Neodiprion lecontei: one gene and its partners. The protein of the gene in region 1 purifies or fractionates together with the protein of each later gene. This does not show direct contact. Links are inferred from orthologs where the notes say so. Each region holds a gene or a part of one and is shown on either strand. Other genes may lie near its edges. The genes, in order: coatomer subunit zeta-1, coatomer subunit alpha and coatomer subunit beta.

What was found.
Region 2: the proteins of coatomer subunit zeta-1 (region 1) and coatomer subunit alpha fractionate together in Homo sapiens (co-fractionation; 6 studies listed by BioGRID and IntAct, with this or other methods). This does not show direct contact. The link is inferred for Neodiprion lecontei from reciprocal best matches to the Homo sapiens genes COPZ1 and COPA.
Region 3: the proteins of coatomer subunit zeta-1 (region 1) and coatomer subunit beta fractionate together in Homo sapiens (co-fractionation; 8 studies listed by BioGRID and IntAct, with this or other methods). This does not show direct contact. The link is inferred for Neodiprion lecontei from reciprocal best matches to the Homo sapiens genes COPZ1 and COPB1.

The regions. Positions count from the first base shown.
Region 1 is NC_060264.1:32,064,266-32,067,979, reverse strand, and holds coatomer subunit zeta-1, read right to left. Parts: upstream 2,525-3,714; 5' UTR 2,408-2,524; coding exon 2,390-2,407; intron 2,093-2,389; coding exon 1,847-2,092; intron 1,654-1,846; coding exon 1,520-1,653; intron 1,350-1,519; coding exon 1,259-1,349; intron 1,116-1,258; coding exon 1,068-1,115; 3' UTR 938-1,067; downstream 1-937. Other genes in the region: heat shock 70 kDa protein 14, read left to right, coding at 2,637-2,702, 2,904-2,984, 3,150-3,583, 3,663-3,714. UniProt on the Homo sapiens protein: The coatomer is a cytosolic protein complex that binds to dilysine motifs and reversibly associates with Golgi non-clathrin-coated vesicles, which further mediate biosynthetic protein transport from the ER, via the Golgi up to the trans Golgi network.
Region 2 is NC_060264.1:35,964,775-35,969,139, reverse strand, and holds the start of coatomer subunit alpha, read right to left. Parts: upstream 2,822-4,365; 5' UTR 2,694-2,821; coding exon 2,614-2,693; intron 1,674-2,613; exon of another isoform or gene 1,476-1,673; coding exon of another isoform or gene 363-1,475; intron 275-362; coding exon of another isoform or gene 242-274; exon of another isoform or gene 168-241; intron 1-167. Other genes in the region: uncharacterized protein LOC107217266, read left to right, coding at 242-274, 363-1,475. UniProt on the Homo sapiens protein: The coatomer is a cytosolic protein complex that binds to dilysine motifs and reversibly associates with Golgi non-clathrin-coated vesicles, which further mediate biosynthetic protein transport from the ER, via the Golgi up to the trans Golgi network.
Region 3 is NC_060265.1:2,317,494-2,321,858, forward strand, and holds the start of coatomer subunit beta, read right to left. Parts: upstream 3,191-4,365; 5' UTR 2,995-3,190; intron 2,661-2,994; 5' UTR 2,647-2,660; coding exon 2,279-2,646; intron 2,197-2,278; coding exon 1,863-2,196; intron 1,770-1,862; coding exon 1,481-1,769; intron 1,408-1,480; coding exon 1,067-1,407; intron 995-1,066; coding exon 721-994; intron 652-720; coding exon 284-651; intron 202-283; coding exon 63-201; intron 1-62. UniProt on the Homo sapiens protein: The coatomer is a cytosolic protein complex that binds to dilysine motifs and reversibly associates with Golgi non-clathrin-coated vesicles, which further mediate biosynthetic protein transport from the ER, via the Golgi up to the trans Golgi network.

The DNA of each region.
Region 1 (3,714 bases):
CACCTGCCTACGCGTCGTCTCGGTAAAACCTCGGTCTTCGGATAAGAGTTAGCAACGGTTAATACTTGAGTATTTGAACCTAGTACAGAGTCGGTCACGAGGATATTTGACGGTGGTCCTAACGGTTTTGCATTGTGTACGCAGAGAGCACGCAAGTAACATACGACCCGAGGCACTGCAGTCGATTCGTTGATAAAAATGGAGAGTACCAACATTATCGTTGATCCGTTATCTCGAGACAAGAATACACCGTACATTGTTTACGTCCCAGAGATGATGGCTATATATGATATACCGTTTTAATTAATCCTGTTTTTTACTTATTCCCACTTTTATTTCTATTATGGACATACCTATGTGTTACGGAAGTATCACAGACAACCGTGCACCGATAATGGTTCCACCTGTAGGCACACCGTTTCCAACGTCTCCACAAACTCGTTCTGTGCTTTGTCGGTAACTATTGATAGTAGCAACTGCAGGCTGCACGATGTGATTTAGTCATCCGGTCATCGAGCTTATACGCTCCTCCAATGCTCGGATGCGTGATTGGATGAAGAGGGTCCCAGTACACTCTGTTTCTCTCGCTCTGCGCTGTGATTGGCTGAATCGCGTTTCCCCATCCAATCACGGCACAGGACGAGAGAGAAAAAGTGTACCGGAATTTCCTTTATCCAGTCACGCGTCAAGTATTTCGTCATGTTAGGTGCCCGCAGCGCTCTGCTGGTGGCTGTGAGCCAGAATTTTAAAAAAGGCTAAATCTCTGATTCAAATTTGACTGAAACGAAAATAAATAATTGACGTAAACTCAGCTTTGCGATCACGTAAACTACAATGCATATTCGACTGAAAACCGGGGCGTCACATGGATGTAAAACTGAAAGTTTTTCCTCATTCAATTTCATGTGACGATACTTCATATAATCAATTTTAACGATTTATAATCATAGTCGTTGCTAGTTTATTCACATAGTTTATTCACATAGATCATGTAATATTTTTTTTTTTCACTCACGTCACGTGCTCAATTTTTTACTTTTTCTTAACATTAATTTTATAAAATTAAATTACTTCAATAACGACCATTTAAGTTGCTCTTTTGCTGACTGTATAACCTGTAAGATTAAAATGGTTAGATATTAATTACAGTCTAAAGACAAGTCACGATAGGATTACACTGAAAGATCGATATTTCATAATATAGGAAAAAGAGACATGGTAGAAAGTGAAGACTGAAATAAGGGGTATACATTCTCACCTGTGCTACCGTTTGCTCGCCAAGTGGAATGTCGTCTGTTCGCAGTGCTACCCGTGTCACTACGCTACTTGCGTCGGCATCCAAAATAATACTAAATAACAGAAATATCTTAATTTGTATGAGGAATAATTAACCATAAGTTGAGCTCGGATTCAATTCATATGGGTTTCGGAATTTTTTTTTATGTAGTGCAAACTAGCTTTACTAGTTCATACAAATATTTTTCAATCATCTGGAAATCCAATATCTCAGAAAACTTACCCATTATCGCAGATTTCATCCATAGCCAGCATCACAATATCCAGACTATCAAGCACTGCTCTCTTTTCAACATTCTTTCTCAAAATTTGACTTATGGAATCATATAAGCAATTCAGCACGCTCATAAGAATTAGCTGTAACGTGAAATGATTTAAAAATCTCTAATTATAGTTTAACAAAGAATTATTCACTGTCAAAGAAGCTAATGATAAATCCTGACCAGTTGGGTTAGTGAAAATCCTATTATTCGCCAACATGAGCAGCTAGAAGTAGATATTTGCATTGTTCATTTACAAAAAGATAAGAACAAAAGAAAACATGACAAACCTCGTTTTCACGAGAGCTGCCCATTACATAGAAGAATAGATCGACATTGCTCTTATAAACACACGTCAGACCATCCAGCATGATAATTTCTGTGTTAGCTCTGTGTGTCTTGTTGAAGAGATTTTTCTCAAAGGCTTTCTGCTCCTTTGAAGTTGGAAATACATTCTTGTCGTAATACTTTGCCAGTATTCTGTTGCCATCATTATCCAGTATCACCATACCCTTGACGGTGTATAGTGAGGGTTCCTGATAAAAAAAGACACGTCATTATAATAAGATTGTTCAACGAAAAGAATGGATTCATTGGAAAAAACAGATGAACCAATTAAATTTGACGAGTAACGTCATTCGAAATAAATTAAGTAGAAATTCTTAGGTTAGGTTAGGTTAGGTTGAGTCGAAGCGACACAGTCAAAAGCCGTCAAATATTCGACGACCGTACATAAGTGGTCAGGAATATGACAGAGAACCGTCAGCCCGTCGGATGATTGTTCGATCTTAAATAATAGGTTGGAAAAAGACATATTTAAATAGTAAACGTACCAGCAACTGATCGTCCATATTTTCGCGTAAAAGTCAACGGGCAACCGCTCTGTTTACGTGTCAATTTGCTCGATTCGGATTTCAGTTCCTGCGTTCCTTTGGTTATAATTTGCAGGCTACTGTCGATAAAAAGGGTCGTAGCATGTTTTGATCGGCATCCGTGATCTCGCAGAAAGTCGTAACCACAGTGTCGTAACTGATCGTGAACCGAATCCCGTTGCTTCGTGCTTCTACAGAATGTACAAACATGGCATCGGTAGCCGCATTCGGTCTTTATTTAGGAAACACCTCAGCCTGTTTGGCGATATTTAAGGTAAATTGTGACTGGATAATTTCTAGCATAACTGGATATTTTTTGACGGGCGGGAGGCGCATTTTCGTCTCATAATAACCAGTCAGTTCCAACCATTTTATCACTGGAAGATAACCGCATGTATGACACATGGACGCGCTGCCTCGTTCTAACCTAGCCAAAACGTCACATCAATAACCCTGATTCAATCAATTTTCACAGGATGACAACGTTGACGTCGTCGCAAACGAAGCCGGCGAGCGAGTCACCGCGGCTGTGGTCGCCTTCAACGAAACCGAAGAGGTGAAACTCTATTTTACGGCATATCTATAACATTTTTAGGTTAGGATCTGCTCTCGCATCCTTTCTTTCGCTAGTTTGCCTTGAATTATTCGCTCCCCTGCCACTAGTGTTTTATAAATTTATCCTATTGCAGCGTTGTAACGTCTATCCATTACAATTTTCAAGGTGATCGGCTTGGCGGCCAAGGCTGGACTCTTCAGGAATGGTCCGGTCTCTGTATTGAACAATAAGAGATTAATGAATAAAAACATTGACGAGACGGAGCTGGAGTTAGCAGTAAAGAGTAGCACCTGTAAAATAATAACAGAGAAAGACACAGTACAATATTTAATAAAGAGGAATGAAAGGATGGAGAAAATACTTCCCGTCGAAGTTGCAACTAGAATATTCGAGGTCATGTACAGTATTTCCACTACCGCAGCACATGATGACAATGAGCACAACGTCGTACTTTGCGTTCCGCTCAGATTCAGTTCTGCTAGCATTCAAATGTGGAGCAAATCTGCCTCCTCTGCTGGGTTCAGAGTTCTACAAGTTATTAGCGAACCTGCTGCTGCGTGTTTGGCCTATGGGATTGGTCAAGACAGAAAAGAGTCAGGGTTTGTAGTTATTTTCACAAGCCTGAAGGCTCGCTCCCAATTGTACAAGGACCTTGTTATCATTAATTTTATTTCACAGATACGTGCTAGTCTACAGAATAGGAGGTGTGAGCAGTGAGATCACATTGGTC
Region 2 (4,365 bases), about 3.9 Mb from region 1:
TCAGGATTTTACATTGTTCGGTTTATTCGCCGAGTAACGGCGAAGAAACAAACCGTACCCTCGGGCCATACGGAGGAACCGGGTCAGAGGCTTGACGACAAGAGTTTTCTGGTAAGTATTGTTGGTGGGGTGTTTGCTCGTGATCCTAACGGAGTTTATATAGATTACGTCGTCTCCGACAAGACTGGCAGTCTTTAGGAGTTCTTCGATCAGTGCAGTAGTGTTGATTAGCTTCAACAAGATGTCGGCTATCTGGTACTCCCCTTTGTGCTTAGTAAGTACCAAATTTCTTTGATGTTTATCGCGCCGACGGCCATGACTCTTCTTTCATTTTCCTAATTAATTTTTAATTTCTCACGCAGGTTCTAATATACGTCGGATCAGCGCTCGGTACCTTCCAGTTTCCGTACCCGCAATTTCATGCTCCTCTGTCGCTCACCCCGCATCTCATTTACAGTTCGCCGGTCGGCGGAAATGTTGATTTTGCGGGTTACTCGTACTTCACAAAGGACTTCGCTGGCGGGCAAACCGAAGTCGTTTTTGTCACTGGGCCGGAATCGGATGTCAAAATGAACAATGAAGTCAGTGCTATGCGCGATCAGCTGAGTTCGATGCCATTTATCAAGGCTCCAGCCTCCAACCTTGGCAATACTGAAGATGACAAGAAGGTGAAAGTCGCGGAAATGAACAAAGAAACAACAACGGCCGTGCCACTTGTCCCGGTTGATACGATAGAAACTTCTACGCCCGTCCCGAAGGATGATGCGTTGTCTCCAGCCATGAACCCGACGGAAGGCACGAAGCAAGACCAACCAGATGAGGTGTTCATCCCGGAAAAGGGTGTCGGGTTCCAAGCGCCTTACCCTATCCTGAGACTGCGAGGTTTCAATTCCTATTATCCTCAGTTATCGTCCGGATTCTCTAGCTATGGGCCGTCGAATTACTTTGGATCTCAGTACGAGCCGTTCTACAACCAGTACAGCTCTTACCAGGGTCTCTATAATCCATTGTACCCGACATTTGAGGAATACTACAATCCGCTATTTCCGTCGTTGCATCATAACCCGATCTTCACACCATCGGTGAACAATTACATCTCCGGGGAGTCCGAGGAAAGCATGCCAGAGGATTTGAAAGAAATTCAAGATATGATTCCGTTGAAGGTCGGCCAGAGTTCCGGAACCGGCGAGAAGGTTGAGAGTACTTCGGAGCAGTCTGCCACAAGTGACGTGATTTCGGGAACAACCGAAGAAGATTCGTCCAAGGATTCAGTCACCGTTACCGATCAAGCAATGTCCGCAAAGCTATCTGAATTACCAACGTCTACTGAGCAGTTGACAGAAAAATCCGCAGAAAGTTCTACAGAGTCGACTACAATCTCCGCGGAAACATCATCGCCTTCAAGCTCGACTGCAACCGAATCTGTGGAACCAACTACTCCCGCGGTTGTTAGCGATTCCATGGCTGTTGCTTGATTAATTAATATAACCATCGGAAGTTAAGTTAAATTCACTGTTCAAGGCAGTAGGAGACGGCTTAGATAGCCTTGAGAAGTTCAGATATTTCTTTTTTAGGCAGTCTAACTATGAAATAGCCCTTTCCGTGTCTTAAATGTAACTTATCACATTGACGTGTATATATTGGGATTGAATCGAATAAAAAATTATAATTTACTTTTTTCTTTTGTACATCAAGACTGCCACGTTTGCTTTATTTCGTTGAAAGATTTCCACACCAATGCATCCTCTTTCAGTCCGTTGAAGCCAATTTTGGGCGACCTATTTCTAGGGAACGGATTGTTTCAATTTTTCGAGAAGTAGTCTATTGTGTAAACTACAAACCGCCAGTAAGCCATTTCAAATTATTTACTATAGAAAGTAAAAGACACTGTTGGGCGGTCGCTTTCGCGTTCTCCCTAAGTCCCTATTAATGGAGCCATGAGACATGCTAGATAAATAGGTGCGCTAAAATATTTGTCCGATAATAATTCGTTAAGAATTTCCGAGTTATCAATAAATTGTATTCCGAAATGTACTCGCACGACCGTCATCATCATTTTACAATTGTTGATCAATTCTGTTAGAGACACAAATGCGGTCAACTTTCGGAATGTGCCGCTAGTATTCGAAAATTGGTAGCGGAATTAAAAAACACGAATCAAGTGATTCGTAGGTCAGTAAGTAGATTGTTTTTTTTTTGTATTTAAAGTTTGGTTAAAAATGTGACAGAGTTGTCTTTGAATACGTAAAATTTTAATACTGACAAGGAAAAATTGAATCTGTCTAGTAAACAAAGCGGCAATTACTAAGTATTTGTATACAAACCCTAATCGACCGAGCGCTTATTATCTCAAGGAAGGTTAGGTTTTTTAGCATTGTAGGTTATGTCAAAAATTGATGACGTGTCTGTCCGTCTGCTGCGGAATCACTTCAATTACGTCGGCATTGTAAGACACCCGGTCAATTGCTTGGGTATTGAGTGTTGCGTCTTGAACTGAGACCAACGTTCGGTCACGAATAACATCCAATTTCTTACGTATAGAAATTACTAAGTGAAATTTGCTCTAAGCCCTTGCCATCCGACAAGACGGCATGTACGTGAAATATATCTCACCTAACAAGGATCCAGGGCCTCTTAGGATGAAAAGACAAGCCCTTGACGCGGGCGGATTTTGTTTCGAACTTGGTCAACATTTCGTAGGTTTTTTCTGCCTGGAATTCTATCACAATCGCATTATCGACAGCAAGATACACCTAGCGATACACTTAGACACGTCACTAGCAAACTTGACAGAATGGCTGCTGATGGCTGTTACCCAAGCTGTTACCGACGCCCATAAGCATTGGTCGGTTTACGATCATAGACAAACATGCTCATGCTGCAAAACGATGCGTGCAGAGGCACGCTACCTAGCGGAGTTTCGTAGAACAAGTCAGACCGCATGCTTACACATGCGTTGACCGATATATAGGTATATTCAAATTTCGAGGGTGCATCGCTCTTCAAGTAATTCAGGAAAGTTACTCATATCCTGAAAACCGTCAAAAAAAGTGTGGTTTTTCGACACGTCTTACTTATATTTCCATATTTCCTACATTTCAGGGGCCAAAAAGCGCACAGCTGAGATACTTTGCGCAATTCCAGGAAGAATGAGGAGTGAAATGAACTATCGTAAAACTGTTCTCACGCAATATTGAGGTCGCTAGTTGAGAACTAGAAATTACAATAATTTTGTAAATAAAAGAAGCTGTCACGATCAGTTGGGCGCGCGGCAACACGTTCCTTGGTTCGCATGGTCGCGGCAACTCGACGCGAGAGCATTTTTCAACCCACTGAACTGTAATTTCAGTGTTTGAATCCTTTTAATTTGTTTGTTTATTTAATATAGGAAGAAAAAAACATGAGAGCTGTCATGGGACAGCCGGTACGAACGAAGTTCCTTACGCTATATTACTGCTCATTGAATAAATTAAGAACGTTTAATTGAAGAATAATTAAATGAAAAATCAAATATATGAAGGAATGGTAATAAAATCGTACGAATGTGTTTTTGAAAGATATAAAAAGAAAGAGAGGCAAAGTATAGACGTACGCTGTGAGAGAGCGCGCTGCGGCCCAAAGTATAGTTGTACGCTGTAGGAGAGAGAAAGAGGGGCGAAGTATAGTCGTGCGCTGTGAGTGAGAGAGACCGCTGCTGCCGTCTCCCACCCCAAGCGCTGAGACAGAGAGAGAGAGCGCGCGCACACGCTGGAATAGAGAGAGAGAGAGAGAGGGAGATCGCGCGCACTATAGCAAACGAGCACTATAGCCAAAAAGTGTCGGTTTTTTGGTGTCGTTTTTTTCCGCCTAGCCCCTACGGTGAACGAGCGATAAGGAACTTCGTTCCAAAAAGGGCGAGATTGCTCGGTCAGTAAGAGTAGGACCACTACATGACCTTAAGTCCGTAGTTTCTAGTTATGGAGGATTGTGGACGCAACTGAAACCGATAGAGAAAGACAGCTATGTATTCCTTCTCTCCCACTGTTTTTCCGTCTTTCTCTCCAGCGACTAGCTGGAGACCCGAGCGCGACAATATTAAGCAGGTTTAATGAAACTGACTACATATGACCTGCATTTTCCACTTGATAGTTAAAAAGTCAGGACCGCCAATTGCTACTGCAATTGCGTATAAAAATTTTATACCTTCCACACTAACCTGATGAGCTCTCTGTTTGGTCATTCTAGCGCTATAAAGTACCTACAGTATCAAGAATGTAGGTTGAGATATATGTAATATCTTTACTTATTATTAGAAGGGTAATTGACGAGATGGTTCATACGTATTGCAATAATTGTAAATACGACGAATGGCATGCTTGGCGGGAT
Region 3 (4,365 bases), on another chromosome or scaffold:
AATCGATTTTCGTAAATTTGTTGGTTCCGCGACATTGTAAATAAACATTAAACTCTTTATACCTGGCCTGCCAGCAACCGCCACGCTAAGACTTTGCTCGAAGACGTCTCCCGCGCCTCCAGTGAGATCCAAATTACGGCTGAGTTGCAGGAATTGGATTGCATCATCAACTTGTACGATGCTGCCCGGCTTTTCCTTTGCCTATTAATCGAAAAAAAATTATAGCCCGTAGATTAAATTGTTCCTATTACTTCCTTATGATCGTCATGAGAAAGCACGCTACCTTTTGAGTTTGCGAGTCTTCCTCGGCTTTAGCAGCGAACATTCTGCTGAGGGCGTCTCTACAGCCCTCTGTGAAGACCTTTTGAATGATGGGTGTAGGACAGGCTAGTGACCTCAGGCACACGGTCAGTCGTTCAGCATCGTCGTGGGTCATAGCTTTAGTCGGAAGCCCGGATCTACCGAGCTGCAATACACCAGACATAATGAGCATCGCTTCTGCTTGCATCCTGTTGCTCTTTGTAGCATCGTTCTCGAGAGCTTTGTAGCGCAGTACAAGCTTAGCAAGGGTTGTAGCAAGGGAAGCACCAATGAAAAAGTCACCATCCATCATGTACTGGACCAGAGCTGGACGTTTTTCTTCTTTTTTACCTGAAAGAACAATCACAGTGCAATATTCGCCCATATTTTGTAAAAATTGTCTTTAGAACATGAACTGACCAGTCGATGCTGTGCTAAACGCACTCTGGCTAGCATACGTTCCATCCGAGGTTACAAGCTGAGCCGGGTTTGCTGCTGAAGTTGGGGCAGCGCCGTCTTCGGCCGGCTTGTCACCAGCCGCCCTCTTATTCTCTGCCTCGACTAAAGGTAGCTCTCCAAGCGCGGCCCTAATGCGACTCATTACAGCTTCGATGTCTTCTTTTGAAACTGCATACTCTCCAAGGATCCAAAGAGCTGCACGGTGTACTTTGACCGACCGAATTTGTGGAAATACCTGAGCGAACAGGAGACAGAAAAATTAATAATGAAGTGACATTCGATAAGAGGTAGGGAATGAGATTCTTACTTCTAATAGCTTTTCTATAATGAGTGGCCTGAGTGGCTCAAATCGTTGGATGGCTTCACGAACGAAAATGAGAACGTCAGTGGCTGCAGCTTCGTTATTTTCAGAGAGAAAATCAGTTAGAACTGGTATAACAGTTGCTGCAACATCTGGGAACTTGATTGAACAGGCGTGTAGGGTCCTAACCAGGAGCCGACGGTATCTACCAGCATCTTCGTGTTCCCCACCAGCAGTCCGCATCACTTCTTTCTTAAGCAGCTGCACCATTTCGTCAATGGTTCGATTTGATACCAGATCCATTGCCAAGGCAAGGGTTTTTGTCCTGACTTCAAACGCCGGAGATCCTAGAAGATGATTTCAATCAGGTAAAACTGTAAATCTCCAAGAAATTCTTGAGCAGCAAAGAGCTAAACCCACCCAAAACTCTAAGCACATCCATTACAAGATCCTGTAATACTCTTTCATGGGCAGGGCTGTCCTTCATGGCAATAAGTCGATCCAGAACAATCAACTTCACATTATTGTCACTCTCTTTAACTACCAGTTCTACATAGGATGCAGCAGCAGCTCGTATTGCTGTTGGGGCACTAGACAGGGTAACCAGTGTACCAGCAGCTTCATACCGAACAGCCGCGCTTGGTGAGTTTAGCAAACTATAGATGCAACGGATAAATCTAGCTCTCTCTGATGGATTTGCATGGCACACCTGCAAGAATAATATGAATTTAGAGTTCGTAAATACATTGAAATATGGACTTTGTTTTTTCTTTGAAAGATAATTAAATTGCAGAAAGCTTACCTTGTAAATCAGTTCGACGATAACAAGCTGAAGGATGTCGCCAAAGCTTGGAACTTGGTCAAGACAAGCAGCTAGGTAGGAAAGAGCTCTGCTCTGATCAGCATGGAGCAGCATGAGGAATGCATTTCGTCTACAGGACATATCCTGCTCACCGTCCAAGTATTTTGCGATTAACTCTGGAGCGTCCGGTATGAGAAACTCAAAATTACGGTATATTGTGAATATGGCTAAAACTGCATTTCGCCTAACGTACGAATGCCGATGCTCCAAACAGGCTATGATCGCAGGCATCAGAGGCTCCAGAAGTTCAGGCTCCTTGAGTTTGCAGAGAAATCTAAAAGATTAGGTGTAAAGGATGACGTCAAACACAAAAAATTTAACTGCTAGGCAAGAGCTAAATAAGAATCTGAAAGAACCTCAGAGTGGATCCCCTGACAAATTCGTTTGGATGCTGCAGGTCTTTTCTGTATGCATCGCAGACGAGAATCATTTCCTGAAGTAGTTTGCCATCTGGAGAAGTTTTTGGTACGATTTCCCAAAAAATGAGTAGCAATTTTTTAACCATATGGTCTTGCAATGGTAGCACGAATCTTATAATGGTCATTAACAGCCCAGGGAGCCTTTCGCCACTGATAATCATGTGTATCGTTCTCTTGAGTGCTTCAATTTTAGTTTTGGTGTCACCCTTCTCCAGATCGAGCTTCAGCTGGAGCTCGTTGATTGGCTCCGAATCCATTGGAATATTTATCAGTGTGTAGCATGGCTGTTCTGCAATACTACTCATGGTGGAAATTGGGGCTGAAATTAGAAAAATAAAATACTGGATTTTTCACCTCTTTACATATACTATAGTATCAAGTTCGTGGATGAATCTTATTCTAGTTTGGAGAATTTGACACATGCACTGAAACCTTCAACAGTCCTCCAAAGTGTCAGTATATATAGCGATGTGGGAGAGAAATATTCAAGTCGGCAAAGGACAAGGAAAAGCTGCGACAAACCATTTACTCAGACAGCTCATTTATTCAATTTAATTCAAAGTAATTCTAGGATGGGAGGGCCGGACGGACACACATGTAGGTTATGTTTGCCTTAAGTCGCGAGCCTCACGGCCGAAGAAGAGCATACGTACGATTTCCTCCCGCGTTCTTAAGGAGCAGAAGCTGAGGCAGAGATTCGTCGTGATTTAAAAACGTGGATTAATTGTACCAAAATATAACGCCGCTGAGTAGTTCCGAAAGGAACGACAGCATTTAAAACTGATTCGTGACGAAGATTGCGGACGGCATACGTGTCATACGGAAGTTCGGGCCGCCGTCGTGACAAGCGAATGGCGCGCCAGGGAAATTTAAAGCTAGCTCAGATATTCGAAACCCTCTACTTCACGTTAGCCAGAGACGGGCATATTTAGGTTAATCAAGAGGGAACGGAGTCCCAACGCGGCGGCCCATAAAAAATGAGAAGTAGCGTTGATTGAATATTGCTTGGGACGGGCAAGCTGAATTGAAACTCGACGCAAGAATGTGAGGCGGGGAAGAAAGCCTCGGTAAAGAAATTTCCTACTGTTACCCACTCAATGCCCCCTAATCAAATCGATAAATAAAAGATACTGCCATTATCTCCGCGCCCACGTTGCACTTGTGCTTGCTTCGGGTCCGTTCTGATATGAGCTTCTGGAGCTGTCAACCATCGTTTATCTCTTTTGCGCTGCCGTGTTCGCGGATAGAACCTTTGGCCTAGGGAGTTTTTAGCGCATCTAGCTAACGTCGGAACGCACCCAACAAAATAATGCCCAGGGCTGACTGTCTGTAGCAATCATTAGTCAACGAAAGAAGATGTTGAATATGATTTGCATGAGTTGTAATGTTTTCTGGTAAAAGGAGGAGATATTGTTATTTACGTCAATAACAGTGGATCAAGTGTCTGTACTTGACGAAAAAAGGAAAGATTGAACAATGATGTCGGTACACCAAGGCAGTCGTGTGGGCATTGCACATCACAACATACTCACCTACTATAATGGTAGATGGCACTAGATGATTGCTTATCTTTAATGATAATTAATACGTGAAATCGCGAAGCTGTGGGAAAACAACGTTTCCACTGAGTTAGATTTGATATAGTGCGACAAAGAATTGATTTTGGCATTATCTTCAAAATTTTCACCGGAAGTCGAAAGGAGTTGACCTTACTTGTTCTTGGAACAAACAATCTTTCGTCTCAGAATCGATTTGTACGAACATTTCTAGACTGATTGGACCCTCAGGATCATCAAAAAGAGCAAAGGAACATCAGCAAAAAAATTACGAAGATGATCTTTAATTTTTCGGTTGTAAATCTTAACCCATTGCTCGTAGCGTATTCGGACTGCGCGCAATCGATCCTACCCGCAAAGTTACGTTGATATGGTAAGTACGTCAAAGAAATTATTCCAACAGTTTTTAAAATGGTGATAATTTCCATGAAAAATCCAATGGGCCTTTGTTCGGACCAAAGTAAGCGT